Linked DNA regions of Macaca mulatta. The protein of the gene in region 2 interacts with the protein of the main gene of each other region in a pairwise test. Links are inferred from orthologs where the notes say so. Each region holds a gene or a part of one and is shown on either strand. Other genes may lie near its edges. The genes, in order: PIAS1 and MX1.

What was found.
Region 1: the proteins of MX1 (region 2) and PIAS1 interact in a two-hybrid assay, tested with the Homo sapiens proteins (2 studies listed by BioGRID). The link is inferred for Macaca mulatta from reciprocal best matches to the Homo sapiens genes MX1 and PIAS1.

What each region holds. Positions count from the first base shown.
Region 1 is NC_133412.1:45,603,950-45,613,840, reverse strand, and holds the start of PIAS1 (E3 SUMO-protein ligase PIAS1), read right to left. Parts: upstream 5,236-9,891; 5' UTR 5,226-5,235; coding exon 5,202-5,225; intron 1-5,201. UniProt on the Homo sapiens protein: Functions as an E3-type small ubiquitin-like modifier (SUMO) ligase, stabilizing the interaction between UBE2I and the substrate, and as a SUMO-tethering factor. Catalyzes sumoylation of various proteins, such as CEBPB, MRE11, MTA1, PTK2 and PML.
Region 2 is NC_133408.1:6,018,982-6,028,091, reverse strand, and holds part of MX1 (interferon-induced GTP-binding protein Mx1), read left to right. Parts: intron 1-881; coding exon 882-1,020; intron 1,021-1,622; coding exon 1,623-1,821; intron 1,822-3,659; coding exon 3,660-3,738; intron 3,739-5,295; coding exon 5,296-5,418; intron 5,419-5,846; coding exon 5,847-5,988; intron 5,989-8,933; coding exon 8,934-9,092; intron 9,093-9,110.

The DNA.
Region 1 (9,891 bases), on a different chromosome or scaffold from region 2:
TAGTAGAGATGGGGTTTCACTATGTTGGTCAGGCTGGTCTTGAACTCCTGACCTCGTGATCCACCCGCCTTGGCCTCCCAAGGTGTTGGGATTACAGGCATGAGCTGTGAGTCACGGTGTCCAGCCTGCACTGCTTTCTAAAGCACAAAAAAGATCTGTCATATCAATATATTTAGTTAAAATAAAACATCTGCAAACTTTGGCACAAGGCTGCAAAGACACTGCAAAAAAAGTAGAATAATCTAAGCCTGGCACGGTGGTTCACGCCTGTAATCCCAGCACTTTGGGAGGCCGAGATGGACGAATCACAAGGTCAGGAGATCGAGACCATCCTGACTAACACGGTGAAACCCCATCTCTACTAAAAAAATACAAAAAAATTAGCAGGGTGTAGTGGCGGGTGCCTATAGTCCCAGCTACTCCAGAGGTTTAGGCAGGAGAATGGTGTGAACCCGGCAGGTGGAGCTTGCAGTGAGTCAAGATCATGCCACTGCACCCCAGCCTGGGCAACAGAGCAAGACTCCGTCTCAAAATAACAAACCAAAAAAAAAAAGTAGACTAATCTGATAGGGACTATTTGAACAAAATACAATGTAAGCTTTCAAATGATCGTACAGCCCTGTATTTACTAATCTGGATAGACATGAAAATAGCAGATTATAAATAAAAAATAGTGTTGTATCTTTTTGTGATGAATATACATATACATATGCTCACAGAGAGAAAATCTAAATGCATAAATACCCAGATGTTAACCATGATATTTCTGAGTGTTGGGGTTACAGGTACTGTTTATTTTTCTGCTTACTTTTCAGATTCTCTGAAATTTTCCCAAGCAAAATGACACTTACAAAAATTAATGTGTATGATTCCAACTAACAAACTCCAAACTTTTTGAAAGGAAGCTTGCAAAATGCCCTAGGAATATCCAAAAATACCCTAGCATAGAGCTTTCCCAAAAGGGAAAGTATCAGCAACAACATAAGTAGAAATTTTTGTGAACTGGGCACCCTAGAGGACTCCAGGTCTGCTGTAGTACCTTTAAGGAGGCCTACACAAGACGTAGGCTCAAGTCCCTGCCACTTTTATTTGTATGACCTTGCAATAGTCACTTACCCTTTCTGGGCTCACTTTCTCTATCTATAAAAAGGATTTAGTTATCACTCGCCTTTCCTACCTCAAAGAACTGCTGGAAAGATCAAAAGAGATAATGCAATATATTATGAACTGCAAAGTACTATATAAATAAGATATTATTATTCAAACATTAAAAAAGCAAGATGCTTCATGCCAGGGTCAAATACTTCAGAAAACACCACAGCCAACTCTATGAAGTAATGAATCCGTTTTTGGTCATTGTTTTTTAAAGGCTACATCTCATCATAAACACCCAGTTTTTCTGGGACTTGGATACTTTTTCCCAGTTCCCACTACAACCATTGGCCACTTTATTTTCTTATCCCTGGTTACCAGCAAGAAAGGGTACAAATTATACTAAACTCAAAAGCCTCAGCAAGAACCCTGGAGCAGCATGCTGATGGAGTTCACCAGGAGAAACCCAAGGTTAATCAGCTATGGACTCAAGCACTACTGCAATCAACAGGGATTACAAGAGACTCTTTGAAGAGAAAGACAATGCAATCGCCCAGGAGAAAACGGTGGATAAAAAGAAGGCAGTATTTCAAAACAATCATATGAAATACTTAGAAACTATACTGTAGTATTTTATAAACTATACTGTAGTGTTTTTTAAATACTGTTCATAAAAATAATGACATAAAACAAAAGCCATCTAAATGTGGCACTTGACAAAGGCAAGTTACAGAGATTCAAATCAAATCCATGAATAAACTGTCAGACGTACTTGCCTCTATCTGAAATAAAAGCAGACAAATTACAGCGTAAGGATCAAAATTAAGTGGCTATTTCTTGAAAATAAAGAGGCAGAAAAGAACAATAGAATTCACTAACACACTTATAGGAACTTTTATAATTATGGTTTCTCTTTCCATTTAATTTAATTATTTACTCCACTAAAATGACGATGAGCTTCTTCTCTCCCACTCTTCTTCCTGTAAATTAAAATGGCAATATAATTTGGTTTGAGTTTTACTCCAAAAAAAAACCATATTTTTTTTAAAAGTACTTTAAGAGGAGCTGCATGAAGCTGTCAGCTTATTAACCACCAAGATCATCTGGCCATCACACCCTCCTGCTTCTAAGTTCCTAAAGATGACAAAATACCCTCCACATTCTTAAAATGTCATTTATGGGTATTCCCCTAATGAAAAATTAAGCCTTTCATAAACAAATGTGCATAGAGAATTCCTTTTGATATGTATGATTCACAATCTAATTTTTATTGGCAATATCTTGAAGTGTTGCAGCTTGCGCAATTCCTACAGGGGATAAAGATCTATCCGTTTTCCCATCTGATCTTTGCAGATTTCTTATAGATTTAAAAGGACTCACTAAAAAAGCCATGAGGAAAATAATTATGAATACACAGCAAAATGAAGTATGGGGCTGAAACCTAAGATAATGAAAAGTCACTGAATGTTATGCAAAGCTTCACAGTTGAAGTACTCTATTCCCATTTAAAATTTCAAAAAAACTAGATTTTCTTCTTACTGATTTTTCGTATATTAGGAATGCATATTTACCTCCAAAAAATCACAAACAAAAAGCCTTCCGAAAATATCATTTCCAAAAGGAGTATCTGCCAAACCTTACTGCACAGAAAATTATATATACACATTCTTTTTTAACACATTCTCAAATAACTATGGTAGGCGTTCCTGAGATCACCTCCTCCACCCCCCAAAAAAAGAACAGCAAATCTAACCACAATAAAGTATTAACCAAATTTTTTTAATGCAGTTATCACCAGCTAAGCAATTTATCACACAGCTCCTCAAAGTCTCAGACACACACAATGACATACCAACATGTCAAAACAGTTATTATAATTTGAAAAATTATACAACAGGAACATAAAAGTAGAAAAAAAAAACTTCCTCTGGAAAAACTCAAGTAGATTTGGGAGAGAGCAAAAAACGAGACTAATTTTAGAAAAATAACATTTCTTCAAGTGTTTGGTGTTTATCTGATACTGGTTCACTTTCGTAAAGAGAAACTTTACCTAACAAGACTCACACCAGGGTTCTAATCCATCCCCAAAGGCACTTTCTTAAAATGAGAAAGAACAAAGAAGGAAATCTCTCAGCATGTGCTTTCCATACTAGTTTCTTTGGACAGCATCAAGAGTGACAATATAGTCTGCACAAGCTTTTCGGCTTTATTCTATGGTCCATGTATAACAACTGATTAGCTATCATTCAAAAGAACTCCTAACAAAATAAATATTAGAAGGCAAAGATCACAGCAACATGATGACTCTATCATAAGAGAAAAATCATAGAAAACATGTCTTAAAGTTGTGTGCTTTTTTTTTTATTTCAAGGGTTAACTATCTCCAAATATTCAAATTCCTAAGGCTTTCTCATTTCAGTCAATAGTTTGAAACTGGAGAAAACCCAAAACCATCCATTCTAAATCTGCTCTCCCTTAAATAAAGTTGTAATTATAAGTACATTTTAAATGAATGACACTCAAAGCCAATACTTTAATACATAAATCTTGGAGTGTAAACATTGTGAAGTTATTAGGAGAAAAGATCTTTCGGTGAGGATATTCCACAGGAAAAACTCTACAGAATCAAATCTGGCATTTGGTTGTTCTAGAAGTTGTCGTTTCATTATAACGGAGAAAAAAATTAAATAATTTGTATTAATTATAAAAAGAAGACTCTCTCCAAAGATTTACAATTGTATATCCCAATCTCCACTCTGACAGAGATGTCAGTTCTCTGGGTCGAGACATAACCAGCTGCTGGGTTCACACACACAGGAAGCCACAGAGAAGATCGCGTTCAGAGCCTCGAAATAATACGCGTTAGTTAAGAACTGCCTGCTACTAAACCAAAATTATTCAAGCGGAGCCCCATTTGTCACAATCCAATCATAAGGGTTCCACCCCCCCTCCCCCAACTGCTTGTGTAGTGGTATATCTGCTTCGGTAAAGAAGCCATCATCAGGTAAAGATTGGGGTGGGAGAAAAGCGGGGAAAAGGGGGCACCCTTTCATCTAATTTCGTGAGGCGTGAGTAATTGGTACAGTTAAGAGGAACGTTCTATTTATCGGGGGTTAGAGTAGCATGAGGGGAGAATTTCGTTCAAATCAACATGGCCAGCAAGATGTCCCTACAAACAAAAGGCAATGGGGGGATATAAACACGAACCATTCACCTCCATCAGCTACAGCATCGCCATCATGGTGTGTGCAGAGACCCCCAAAGGCTCCTCTCACCCTCCACACCAGCCAAGGCAAGAGAAGGGAGAGAGGTAGCTACATCCCCCTCTCCCAACACTGCTTCCAAAGACACACTCTTCGAGGGGGTTTCTCCCCTCGGCTGCCCGGAATCAGAGAGAGAGTAACGTCCCGCCCAGGCTGACTCTCCCCCGCTACCTCTCAGCCGAACCCCAATGCCGGCCCGGGGCTCGCTAAACTTTACCAGAGCTTCTCCCCCCAGATCCCCACCCTATCGCCCCGGGATCGCGCTTCCCTCAAGCGGGGCACCCCAGGCGCTTCCTGAAAGCGAGCAGCCGGGGAGAGCCGAGTCCGGGGCGGGGGCGACAGGGATCCACGGAGGGGCGGGGCGGCCGGAGCCAAGTTCCCGGGGGTCTGAGAAGAGCGCCTGACAGGAGCCCGGGACTGCAAAGGAGGAAGAGGAAGCGGCCACGGGGAGCTTTCCCAATCCCCCCTACAAGAGCACCCTGCCCCCAGCCCCAGCTCCCCATGGGGGGCGGGGAGGCTAACTAGAAGGTGAAAAAGCCGAGCCCAGGAGACAGCTGCAGCCCCTACCTCCCGACTCCCTATCTCTTCCCCCGCCACCCCCGCCAGAGGCGCCCACAACAATAACACGCCGGGGACGACCCGTCAGCGCCCCCGAGGCACCCGGGGCCCGCGGCCCGCCGCAGGCGGGCCCCCTCTGCTGAGACCGGGCGCGCCTCTCTCCCTACAACTCCAGGCCCGGGTGGAGTCAGGCCCGAGCGGCCCCCCAGGGTCGGACCCATCCCCCCAGGCACCAGAGGCGCCGTCTCCGCGGCCGAATATTAGAAGTGAATTCGAGCTGCGCTTTACCTTTAGTTCCGCACTGTCCGCCATCTTGCGTCTGTCAGCGCAAGCGCAGTGAACCTCGCCGGGGGCCGCCGCTAGACCCGCCCCTCTAGCCGGCCTGGCCCCGCCCCGGCCCGCCCCTCCACCTTCCCAGCCCGCCTCTGGCCTCCGCCCCGCTTAGGGCGCTGGAAGCCCCGCCCCGGACACGTACAACTGCGAGACAGGCACGTTCTATTTAAATAATGGCGCCAAGCGGCGAGGTTTGACAGTTACTACCCCCTCGGCTTCCCAGCCCCCCCATCCTCTCTCGGCCAGCGCCTCCCGGGAAGGGCAGGGGCGAGAGGGATGCTGGCCTGAGCCCCATCTCTCCGCGGTCCGTGGAACGCTTCTGCATAGCTTCGACGCCTACGGTCACAGAAACAATGCTGTCCTCCAACCCCTAATAAGCAAGGCTTTTTCAGCACCTGCTACTTGCGAGGCTACCAGTGGGCTAAAAATAGAAATCCGTTACATTTAAGGGGCCCTTAATGAAGCATTTCTAGCATTATTGGCTCAGATCCTCCTCTTGATAACGCGGTGAGGTAGGCAAGGAAGAGATAATTCCCAGGGTATAGATTCAGAAATGAAAGCTCAGAAAGGAAAAGTGACTTGCACAAACAAGAATTTTTGCGAGGTGGCGTAAGACAAAATTTTGAAGGTGTTCATTAACATTTTTGTTTTAAAAAAATGTATTTAGTGACTATCTGTTGGCTTTGTGCTAACGGCTAAATATACATTGGGGAATCAAAGTCCCTGCCCTTCTGTAGTTCTCTAATGGGGAATCAGACAAGTGAACGAACAAAGATACAATTTCAAATGTTATTTTTTGAGTACCAGAAGGGAGCAAACGGTCCATTGAGAAAGAAGAAGGGTTTGGGAGATGTACTTAATTCTGGGAGAGTTTTATCCACTAAATTGACATTTAAGTAGACTTGATGGAAGGATTATTTCATTCTTTTTTGTCTCTACTAAAAGCCTTCTGGGCCGGGCGCGGTGGCTCAAGCCTGTAATCCCAGCACTTTGGGAGGCCGAGACGGGCGGATCACGAGGTCAGGAGATCGAGACTATCCTGGCTAACACGGTGAAACCCCGTCTCTACTAAAAAATACAAAAAACTAGCCGGGCGAGGTGGCGGGCGCCTGTGGTCCCAGCTACTCGGGAGGCTGAGGCAGGAGAATGGCCTGAACCCGGGAGGCGGAGCTTGCAGTGAGCTGAGATCCGGCCACTGCACTCCAGCCTGGGCGACAGAGCCAGACTCAGTCTCAAAAAAAAAAAAGAAAATTGGTCTCTCTCTCATGATTTTTTGTAAAACCAGATAACTCAGTTTTGTTTTAGTGAACATGGGTGACACCATTTTGATTTTTAGTCTGGTCTGGAGGCCTGATGCAGGAATTTGGTTCAAAACAATGGCATCCTGTGATTTTTATTTAACAATTAACCTAGGTGAAATTGTGACACTAAGACGGAGGGCGTTAGCACTACCCTCACTTAACATCATTCTGGTTTTCTAGTCTCCACACATCATTTATAGATTACAGTGTCCTCACGATTATGCATTTCTGTCATTGCAGGTGAAGAGAGACCACTTGACATTCAACAGTTGGCTGTATACAAACATTTAAAACTTTTTGAGAGAACATAGTTGAGAATTATGACTATCAGGTGGACAATGCCAAGAGTTCAGAGTATGCTTCTTAGCTAGGGTTGCCATAAACCAAACCAACTAAAATCATATAGATCAAAGAATGAGCCAGATGAGAAATCTACCTGTTTTAACCAAGTAGCCTGCTAACTTTTTGAAACTGAGTCTCTATAATACCAGATTATGTACAACAACAAGTGTCAGCAACAGCACAGATTTCCCCCTGTTTGGTTAGTAGGTAGCCATTCTGTCATCTAGCATCTCAGGAATTGGTTAAATTGAAGCAAAGAGTGCTAACTCTACAAAAGAGGCCACTAGTAAAATTTGAACAAACAGTTGCATTAGGGATGTTGCTAAAGTTACCCACTAGGTGGAATAAAAGCTCTCTTGGGTCCTGTAAAGGTTTGGGTTTGACATGTTACACTTTATCAACTTGCCCACAAAAACAACTGATTGTGAAATTTTAACTACAGCATTATCCTGCCAAGTGGAACAGGTGGGCAAAAGCAAGAAAAAATTAAGAAGGGAAAGAGTCTTATTATGGTAGCGAGTCTTCTTCTGACAGTCTTGGAAAACACTGTCCACAACATGATGTCAGCAATTTCTCGTCCTGGTTTGCAGTTTAAATGTCTCTGGCTGTGGCATCAGGTGTTCTGCCGAACCCTCTGTGTGGTTCCCTCATCAAGCATGGGACTTATCCCTTGAAATTTATATCGAGTTGTTCAGCTTAGCAGTTTTTGTTCATGGTTGGAGAATTGTAGTCAGATATTGAAGGCAATGAGAAATCAGGATCCAGTCTAGTCTATAGATATATGATAAAAACTCAAAAACAATGAACAAAGCTGCAATCTAATAACAGGTGTATTATAGTTTTCATCAGAAACATAATTTTTCTCTCTACAGTCATTCCCGTTTCCACCAAAGATAATCATAGTAAGACCAATTTGTTTTTTTAAATGATTTTAGTTTCAAACTTGACCTGATTATTTACATAAGTGCAGCAAGAATAACCACATAAGCTTGTTTTAAATTTATTTTGCTGGAAATGGTGACGACGAGTCTCAGATTGGACTTTTAAAAACCTCTTGATGTTAGGAAGTCAAACCAAGGCAGACATCAGACTTTGCCTGCAATATCTAATATCTTGAGGTTTCTGGGCCTGCCTGAAAGTGACAACTGTTGTTCACTATAAGGCTGAGAACCCTTGAAAATTGGCATTCTATGATTCTATGCAGATTTTAAAATATGATGTTGCTATATATATATGAATATATATATATGAATGATATGGTTTGGCCCTGTGTCACCAACCAAATGTCACCTTGAATTGTAATAATTCCCAGGTGTCAAGGGCAGGACTAGGTGGATATAATTGAATCATTATCAATTCAATTGATAATGAATGAATGAACAGCACTGGTGGCGGGGTGGGGGGGCGGGAATCCCTCCATGCTGTGCTTGTGATAGTGAGTTCTCAGGAGATCTTATGGTTTTATAAGGGGCTTCCCCCTTTGCTCGGCAACCATTCTCTCTCCTGCCACCCTGTGAAGAGGTACCTTCTACCAGGATTGTAAGTTTCCTGAGGCATTCCCAGCCATGCAGAACTGAGTCAATTAAACCTCTTTTCTTTATAAATTACCCAGTCCCAGGTATGTCTTCGTAGCAGCGTGAGAACAGACTAATACAATATGACACTGCAATCAAAGCTTTGGTAATGTAACCAATATTTCCAGTTGTATTTTGTTAAAGAGAAGAGCTTCTTATTGAACTTATGCAAATAACTATATTGTCATAAAAATAAGAATCTTCATGATTAGTTTACAAATGTTGGAGGAATTAAGTAGGAAGGAAAAGCAAATGTTTGAATTTTTGTTTGCGAAAGTATGCCTTACCAAATTGCTATAAGCTATCAGTAGCTTAAAAGAAAAAAGGTTTTCTTAAATATTGAAAAAGAAAACCTATTAAAAGAGAGCCAGCAAGGTTTCAAATTTTATTTATTTTTCTTTCTTTCTTTTTTTTTTTTTTTTTTTTTTTTTTTTGAGACAGAGTCTTGCTCTTTTACCCAGGCTGGAGTACAGTGGCACAATATTGGCTGACTGCAACCTCCGCCTCCAGGATTCAAGTGATTCTCTTGCCTCAGCCTCCTGAGTAGCTGGGATTACAGGTGCCCAGCACCATGCCTGGCTAATTTTTGTATGTTTTGTAGAGACAGGGTTTCTTCATGTTGCCCAGGCTGGTCTTGAATTCCTGAACTCAAGCGATCCACCCACCTTGGCCTCCCAAAGTGCAGGGATTACAGGTGTGAGCCACCATACCTGACCTCAAATTTTAAAAGCTGTAAAAACATCCTGATTTCTCTCTTTCATTCACCTCCCAAATGAATCCATCAGCAGGTCCAACTGACTCTAAATCAAAGCCCAAGCCAGTTCATTTCACTGCATCTCCACTATCATCATCCATTGATGCTTATTTTTGGACCCATTACAAGCTGCCATAGTCTCAAAACTGCTGGTAAAACTACCTAACTCAAAGGGCCACGTTATGACTTCCATTGCCCTAGGCACTTTTGCTTTCTTGGTTTCTGTGCTACAGTAGAAATATATACAGTTGACGCTTGAACAACATGAGTTTGAACCACGCAGATGCACTCATATGTGGACTTTTTTCCTGCCTGTGACACCTCTGAAATGGCAAGACCAACCCCTGGTCTTTCTCCTCTCTCTCAGCCTACTCAATGTGAAGACAAGGATGAAGATCTTTATAATGGCCCACGTCTGCTTAATGAACAGTCTTCCTTATGACTTTTGTAATAACATTTTCTTTTCTCTAGCTTAGTCTATTATAAGACTACAATACGTAACACGTATAATATACAATGTGTGTGCTAATTGACTGTTTATGTTATTAGTAAGGCTTCTTGTCAACAGTAAGCTATAAATAGTTAAGTTTTTGGGGAGTGAAAGTTATATGTAAGTTTTCTACTGTGTGAAGAATTTTCTACTGTGTCAGCTCCCCAATCCCCTGGTTGTGCAA
Region 2 (9,110 bases):
GAGTTAGTATTTGGAGGTGTGAGTGGGGAATTTAGAGAGCCCATTGGTCAGTCTCTTCTGTCAAGTTGAATGGAAGCTTCTTTGGAGAAAGTGAGGCCAATGGGCCCAGTTGGAAACATCTATGTATTTGTTTTATGTTTTATGCAATGCCATATCTAAAGTGCTGTGTATTAGGAAGGGGTCTTATGTGGGAAGAGAGCATTAAAAAGAAGTATAATGGGCCACACACAGTGGCTCACTCCTATAATCCCAGCACTTTGGGAGGCTGAGGCAGGAGGATTCCTTGAGCCCAAGAGTTTGACAGAAACCCGAACAACATAGTGAAGACCCCCTTCTCTATAAAAGAAAGAATTAGCCAGGTATAGTGGCGTGCACCTGTCAACTACTGGGAGGATTGCTGGAATCAGGGAGGCTGCAATGAGCCATGATTGTGCCACTGCACTCCAGCCTGGGCAACAGAGCAAGAACTTGTCTCAAAACAAAAACAAAACAAGCAAGAAAGAAACAGGTATAATGATATTTTAGTATTGGTGAATCTTCCTTTACAGATTAAAGATTTAGGGGTGAAGTGGGGTTTTTTGGCCACCATTTTTCATTGTGACCATCAGATCTAAGGTCTTGGGGGTTAATTACCTGAAACCTCGTGGTTTTCCCTGAGCCTACAGCTCTGTTTCTGCCGCAGATAATTTATTTTCTCATAATTCCAGCTTGGTAGGTACCTCCAGGGTTGCGTTTGTGGGTTCATTTCTCCAAAGTTACTTCTTTTGGGGGAAATACCCCTGGGACTCTCAGGGACTGAAGCAAGTACAAGGTCAGGACCTGTCTCACCTTTCACTTGCCTTTGCCATACTCAGGAGTCACCTCCTCTCATTTCCTTACAGATCAAGACACTCATCAGGAAGTACATCCAGAGGCAGGAGACGATCAACCTGGTGGTGGTCCCCAGTAACGTGGACATCGCCACCACAGAGGCGCTGAGCATGGCCCAGGAGGTGGACCCCGAGGGAGACAGGACCATCGGTGAGAATGGGGAAGCCCATCCGTGCTCGGTGAGAATGGGGGAGCCCGCCTGTGCTCAGTGGTCTGCCAGTGGGCAAGTGTCCCTCCAGTCTCCATGGGCTTTGCTCAGTGGGGACCTGCCTCCACTAAGACCTGCTAAGGGGGCAGGTTTGGTGCCCACCAAGGCCAAGCGAAATGAGCTGCTGTTGACTTTCACTGGCTAGGTTACCTTGTAACCCTTATCTACTTGCTCAGAAAGGCACAGTGGGTTCGGAAGCAGGGCAACTCAGGAAGCACATGGTATTCATTAAGAATGTGTTTGAGATGGGATGTCCATAACTCAAGGGACAAACAAAATGTGGCGTGTTCTACAGTGGACCCGGGTGAAGGAGCTTGGGGAGAGCCACACACTGTTCCGGGAGGCATTCCTGCCTTCACGTGGCTTGCCACGGAGTTCTTTTCTGGAGCGGGGCTCCACTGGCCCCATGGTTCTGCAGGGCCCATGGCCTGCCCTCAAGCAAGGATGGGAGGAAACCCTGGGAGACTGGGGGTATGAGCGGTTGTTCATTCACCTCTGCCTCGTGACTGGGCACGTTCTCTCCCCAAATACATCTGGCTCGCAGGAATCTTGACGAAGCCTGATCTGGTGGACAAAGGAACTGAAGACAAGGTTGTGGATGTGGTGCGGAACCTCGTGTTCCACCTGAAGAAGGGCTACATGATCGTCAAGTGCCGCGGCCAGCAGGAGATCCAGGACCAGCTGAGCCTGTCCGAAGCCCTGCAGAGAGAGAAGATCTTCTTTGAGGACCACCCACATTTCAGGTGCGCTCGCCTGGGTTTCATCACAGATCAGTCCAAGCCCAGGATGTCAGGCCTTCCTGGGGAAAGTGGCAGCCGTCCCACAGATGTGTGGAGTGTGTGTGTGACTATGCCTGTTCCCCAACAAGGACTATGGAATTCAGCTAGAAGAATAGAAAGGGGATTACAAAATACTGCCCCCCCCCAAAAAAAAAAAAAAACTAAAAACCAATCAAAATCAAAATAGGGAGAGAACAATGTACAATAATTTAAATAGTATGGTGCTAGAACCATATTTTATAAAAACATGAACAGAAAAGTAGAAAGTCCAGAAATAGACCTGGATATATATATTTGATACATGATAAACGCAGCATTTCAAATCAAATAGTGGACTATATCAGCTTGATTATCTATTAATGGTGTTGGGCTAATTAATATTTGGGAAAAAAATTAAAATACTGCTCTTACCTCATTATACCAAAATAGTTAAAGTTTAAAGTCAAACATTAAAAGGAAGCAATAAGCATCCCAGAAGAAAAGGTAGGTGAATAGTTCATAAGGCCTTTCTATCCCTCCTGCCAAAAGTGACATTTTTTGAAAGGAAAAGACTGATAAATTGGTAAGATTTAAAATGATGAGACTATGTAGAGTTGTAAACATTCTTGCATTCAGTTCTCCCAGAAGCCTACAGAGAACCATTACTCAGAATTCCAGAAATATCAAACAGAAACTTACATGCTGTTCTGCACATTCACAATAGCCAAAAGATGAGATGACTCAGTGTCATTGACGGACGGATGCAGAAAGCAATGTGGTCTGTACAAAAACGTGGAATACTTTCAGCCTTAGAAAGGCAAGGGCATTCCGACACATGCTACAACATGGATGAAGCTTGGGAACATTCTACTAAGTTAAAGAACCCAGTCATAAGAGGATGGATACTGTCTGATTCCACTTAGCTGAGGTCCCTGGAGTAGTAAGATTCATAGAGACAGAAAGAATGGTGGGTGCCAGGGGCTGGGAGAGAGAGAATGGGGAGGTAGTGTTTAATGGGGCCATTGTTTCAGTTTGGGAATATGAAAAGTTCTGAAGACAGTGGTGATGGTTGCATAATAGTGTGAACGTATTTAATGCCACTCAAGTGTACTCTTAAAGATGGTTAAATGGTCAATTTTATGTTGTATGTGTTTTACTACAATCTAGAAAAATTGACAGAGAAACTGAAGCTTAGGTATGACTATACTCTCACAAAAAGGCACAGAAACTCATGCTTCGCTGCTTCCTTTATCCTAAAATGTCCTATAAAATGTGGGAAACCCTGTAATAATACCCTGGGAGCACAAGTTTTGGATCGGGTGAGAAGATGCTTGACTTCCTTCCTCCAGGCAGCCCATGGTTTAAGTTTTTATCTTGGACAAGATATCTTGTGTCTCTTCTCCTCAGTGTTCTGCTACCCATTTATCTCAGGATGCTTCAATGTATTCGTATGAAGATATGTCTCTATCCATTATGATTACCTACACATATTACACATAGAAGGGGGTATGTGTTATATAAACGTGTCTATACATGCCTGTGTATTTTTGTGATGACCAAGTCTAGAGTCAAATACCATGATACACATTTATTATATCAGCTGGAAGGGCTTATTCCATATCATTGTTGAAATATCCTAGATTGCTAAAATTCAGTCATAATCCTATTCAATCCAATTCTGAGTATTTGTTGGGTACCAATTGCAAGACATTCCATCCAGTTGTAAACAACTGAAATTCACCTTGACTTTTCCCAACAGCAGAAGGCAGACATGCGTGTTCTGGCTACATCAAGGTGGAAAACATTCTTGTGTTCTCTTCTAGGGATCTGCTGGAGGAAGGCAAGGCCACGATTCCCTGCCTGGCAGAGAAACTTACCAGCGAGCTCATCACACACATCTGTGTAAGCACGGGCAGAGCTGTGGGTTCTCTGAAAAGAATACTACAAACACAGCTGAACCTTGCTGGCTGCTTAAACATCGCTGTACACACAGATCTTCTGAGGATCTTGTTAAGATGCAGATTCAGATTCTGTGGGTCTGGAGTGCGGGCTAGGATTCTGCATTTCCAGCAAGCTCCCAGACGATGCGGATACTGCTTTTCAGGGGACCACAGTCTGGGGGGATGCTGACAGACTATCTCAACTGGGCCAAAATAAAAATTAAAATCTTATGCACAAGCTACTAACTCTTCCTTTCCCATTGACAACCACTATTATAATGTCTTAGTCATTCTAACGAACGTATTTTTTAACTTCTAAAAGCTTTGTAAAAGCTCTGTGGTTCTTTTTAAAAATCTGCCTGAATGTAGTCTCTTCCTTTTTCAAATTTTCTTTTTCTTTTTTTTTTTTTTTTTGAGACAGAGTCTCTCTCTCTATTGCCCAGGCTGGAGTGCGGTGGCGTGATCTTGGCTCACTGCAACCTCTGCCTCCTGGGTTCAAGCCATTCTCATACCTCGGCCTTCTGAGTAGCTGGGATTACAGGTGCACACCACCATGCCCAGCTAATTTTTGTATTTTTAGTAGAGTCAGGGTTTCGCCATGTTGGCCAGGCTGGCCTTTTTCAAATTTTCAACTCAGCACCAGAGTGCAAGGTCTTCCCCGTGGTCCCCAGGAATGTGGGTGCAGAATGGGTTTGTTTTCCAGCTGACTGTGATGAGTGCAGAGCTCTTTGGGGTCCCATTGTATGCAGAAAAGGGATGGTTCCTTATTAGATTCCCCACCTCAAGCAAGCCCATGGGTTTTTTTTTTTTTGCCATTGTACCAAGTCAGGCTCGTAGGTTTACGTTTGAGTTTTCTTACCTAGACAGATGCCCTTGCGGCTGAGATAGGCTCCATTGCTGCCTCCTTCTTGAGCCCCTCCTTGGCCACTGTTACTGGGGCTGGCATCTGAGTACCCCTCACTAGCTTGTCAGCCCACCGATACATTTTAAAGGTACGGCTTTCACATGTCAGCCGGCATTGTTAGATGTTTGCTATGGAAGTGTGAGCCAGCACATGGTGCCAACCGTATTGTTAAAAACATAAGTCTCTGATCACTTTTTATTGATTGCAAACAACATAAAAGTTGTTGAATCTCCAATTGCTCCAAATGCCACTTCTTCAGAACCTACTAAACAAGTGGATCTCCCCAGTCTCCCTCCAGAGAGTTTACCTAATTCGACGACAGGAGGAACTGCCCCTGGGTCGCTCTACCAGGGCCCGGCACCCATGCACAGTGGGTGCCTCAGTGCTGCTCATGAGGCTGCTGCCGCAGGAGTCGGGAAGGGGGAAGACCTGGGCAGGAAACAGTGCCCCTAGCGTGTGTCCCCCTGCCCCCCAGGTCTGGAAAAGCTTCCTTTTAGAGGAAGCCAGGAAGTCAAATGGCCCACACAGCTCCTATGTAGAGGGAGGCCCGGGACCTCCTTTTCATTCCCTGTTCATCTTTATCAATTCCCATTATTTTCTCTCCGTTTTCCTCAGAAATCTCTGCCGCTGTTAGAAAATCAAATCAAGGAGAGTCACCAGGGAATAACAGAGGAGCTACAAAAGTATGGTGTCGACATACCGGAAGATGAAAATGAAAAAATGTTCTTTCTGATAGACGTGAGTGTTGCCAGCTACATGGAGCTGGAGAAGCACATGTCATGGTCAGAAAAGGGGCCCTGGGCCTCACGCACTTCCTTCTTCACTCCCCCGAGGCTGATCCAAAGACATCTGGCCCGTCGCACTCAAAGAGTGGACAGGGCTGAGGGAGGCAGGGCAGGGAGTGCGGGTGTGCGGGGGGAGTCAGCAGTGAGGGATGCTCAGGCTGCATTGTGACCGCTCTGTCATGATCATTGCCCAGATCCTTAAGGCAGTAAGGGGTGGGATAGGATTTTCTGGTGCCAAAACCTCTGCTTTCCTCTGATCCACAGTGTCCCATAAGGAAGCAAAGAATGACTCCCTACCCTCCACATAGGCACGGCCTCCAAACGACCTTGACCTTGGATTTGAAGTCTATCCGCTTATACTGATGTTTTTCTTCTTGACAGAAAATTAATGCCTTTAATCAGGACATCACTGCTCTCATACAAGGGGAGGAAACTGTAGGGGAAGATGACAGCCGACTGTTTACCAGACTCCGACGTGAGTTCCACAAATGGGGTATAATAATTGAAAACAATTTGCAAGAAGGTGAGTGTCTTAGTCCCTTCTTTGAGCTGCTACAACCAAATACCTGAGACTGGGTCATTTATAAACAGTAGAAACTTATTGCTCATTGTTCTGGAGGCAAGAAATCCATTCTTAAGGAATCAGGAAATTTGGTGTCTGGTGAGAGCTTATTCCCTGCTTCAAAGATGGCACCTTCTAGCTGTGTCCTCTCATGGGATAAGGGACGAACAAGCTTCCTCAGACCTCTTTTTTACAGAGATACCAGAGGCATACCTCAGAGAGATTGTGGGTTCAGTTCCAGACAAAACAAATATTGCAATAATGCAAGTCACATAAACTTCTTGGTTTCTGGTGCATAAACAGTTCGTTTATGCCATACTGTAGTCTACTAAGTGTGTAATAACATTAGGCCTAAAAAGTATGTACGGACCTTAGTTTAAAACACCTTATTGCTAAAAAATTGCTGATACAGAAACAAAAAGTAGCATGTGCTACCGGAAAAAATGGTGCTGATTTGCTTGACATGGGGTTGCCACCAACCTTCAATTGCAAAAATTACAGTATCTGAAGTGCCTGGAATCCCATTCATGAGGGCAGAGTGCTCATAACCCAATCCTTCCTAAAGATCTCCTCTGTTGATACCATTACACTGAGGATTGAGTTTCAACATAGGAATTTTTAGGGGACACTAACATGTAGACCATAGCCATGAGTCAATAGCGTGGTGAGCCTGGTATGTTGGCTTAAGACAGGAGAGTGGGGCAGTTGGGGAGGATGGTCAGGATAAGGAGCTGATGACAGCTAAAGCCACATTTGCTCTCTTCTATATCACTGAACCCAAATGACCATCCGCTGATGAATCGATAAACTAACTGGCATGTGTCTGTGTGTAGCAGTTGGCTCTGGCTGCCATAACACAGTCCCACAGACTTAGTGGGGGCTTAAACAGTAGAAATTTATTTTCTTACAATTCTGAAGGCTGGAAGTCCAAGATCAAATTGCTGGTGGAGTTGGTCCCTTCTAAGGCCTCTCTCCTTGCCTTGCACATGGCGTCTTCTCGCTAGGTCCTCATGTGGTTTTCCCTCTGTGTGTGTCTGTGTCCTCATCTTCTCCTACAAGGACACTAGGCACATGGGATGAGGGCCTACCCTAGTGACCTGATTTCAATTTAATTACCTCTTTGCCTGTCTCCAAACACAGTAAGATTCTGAGTTCCTGAGGGTTAGGACTTCAGCATAGGAATTTGAAGAGGTCACAACTCAAACTCAGCCCATAACACCAAGCCCTGGAATATTTCCAGCCACAGACAGGCACAGAGCGCTGGTCCACAGCACCCCATGGATGAACCTTGAAAACATCATGCTGAGTGAAAGAAGCCAGCCACAAAGGCCACATATCATATTCTATGATTCCATTGATAGAAAATGGCTAGAGTGGGCAAACCCAGACAGGCATAAAGCAGAATAGTGGCTGCCAGGGGCTGGGGAGGGAAAAGTGGGAAGTGGTCATTGATGGGTGATGGGTGTGGGGTTTGGGAGTTATGTCTGGGGATGGTTGCACAACTTTGTGAATATACTAAAATTCACTCACACATACACTTTCTTTTTCTTTTTCTTTTTCTTTGGAGACAGGGTCTTGCTGTGTCACCCAGGCTGGGGTGCAGTGGCTCAGTCTCGGCTCACTGCACCCTCTGCCTCCCGGGTTCAAGTGATTCTCCTGCTTCAGCCTCCGCCTCCCTAGTAGCTGGGATTACAGGCACCTGCCACCACACCTGGCTAATTTTTGTATTTTTAGTAGAGATGGGGTTTCACCATGTTGGCCAGGCTGGTCTTGACCTCCTGACCACAAGTGATCCACCAGCCTCAGCCTCCCAAAGTGCCGGGATTATGGGCGTGAGCCACCGCACCTGGCCTGAACCATATACTTTCAATCGAGTGAATTTTATACTATGTAAATGATATCTCAGTAAGAAAAATCCTTATGGGAAAGTATTTCCTGACTGAAAAAGGGTACTAGATTACCATTCAAAAAGGAACTCACACCCTCTGAACTTCTGATGGGGCTAACTCTCTCTATGTGGACTGTTGGGAGTACAAACAATTCCAAAAGTTTAAAGAAAAATGCAGCATCTTACACAGTGAACAGTGCTACTGTATCACATTCACACAAGTTGATATACCTGGTTTACTCTGTTATCCCATTTGACTTGTAAACACTTTCTACACACGAATATATGACATGTTGTTAATTCCAGAAAGTGTTCATGCTCATTTCTAATGGGCATACAGTTGAGGGCAAGGAATGTGTTATGGTACAATTTCTTTGGTAAAACTAAAATTAGGTTCACAACAGTTCATACTCGAGTAAGTTTTTAAGAAGGGGTCTTGGCCAGGCACAGTGGCTCACGCCTGTAATCCCAACACTTTGGGAGGCTGACACGGGTGGATCACGAGGTTAGGAGATCCAGACCATCCTGGCTAACATAGTGAAACCCTGTCTCTACTAAAAATACAAAAAAATTAGCCGGGCGTGGTGGCGGGCACCTGTAGTCCCAGCTACTTGGGAGGCTAAGGCAGGAGAATGACGTGAACCCAGGAGGTGGAGCTTGCAGTGAGCCGAGTTTGCGCCACTGCACTCCAGCCTGGGTGACAGAGCAAGACTCCGTCTCAAAAAAAAAAAAAAAAAGAGGGGGTCTTACTCAAAGTTTCTGCATGTGCAGGTTCCTGGCATCGTACCTGACTCTGCACTCCCCTTCCTGAGGTGACTAAGGAAAATTATCTTGAGATCTGGCTTTTCTGTGTGTGTGTGCAATCTCTGAATATTTTTAGTTTACCAGTTAGATTTGATTTGATATCACTTTTTCTTGCCATTTATATTTTCAGAAAATCTAGAATGGTATTGTGTTTAGAAAAATGTGCAAGATTATTTTTGTGAGATAATTTGGTGTTATTTTTTTCCTGCTATAGGCCATAAAATTACGAGTAGAAAAATGCAGAAATTTGAAAATCAGTATCGTGGTAGAGAGCTGCCAGGCTTTGTGAATTACAGGACATTTGAGACAATCGTAAAACAGCAAATCAAGGCACTGGAAGAGCCAGCTGTGAATATGCTACACACTGTGACGGGTGAGTGCTCAGTTTCAC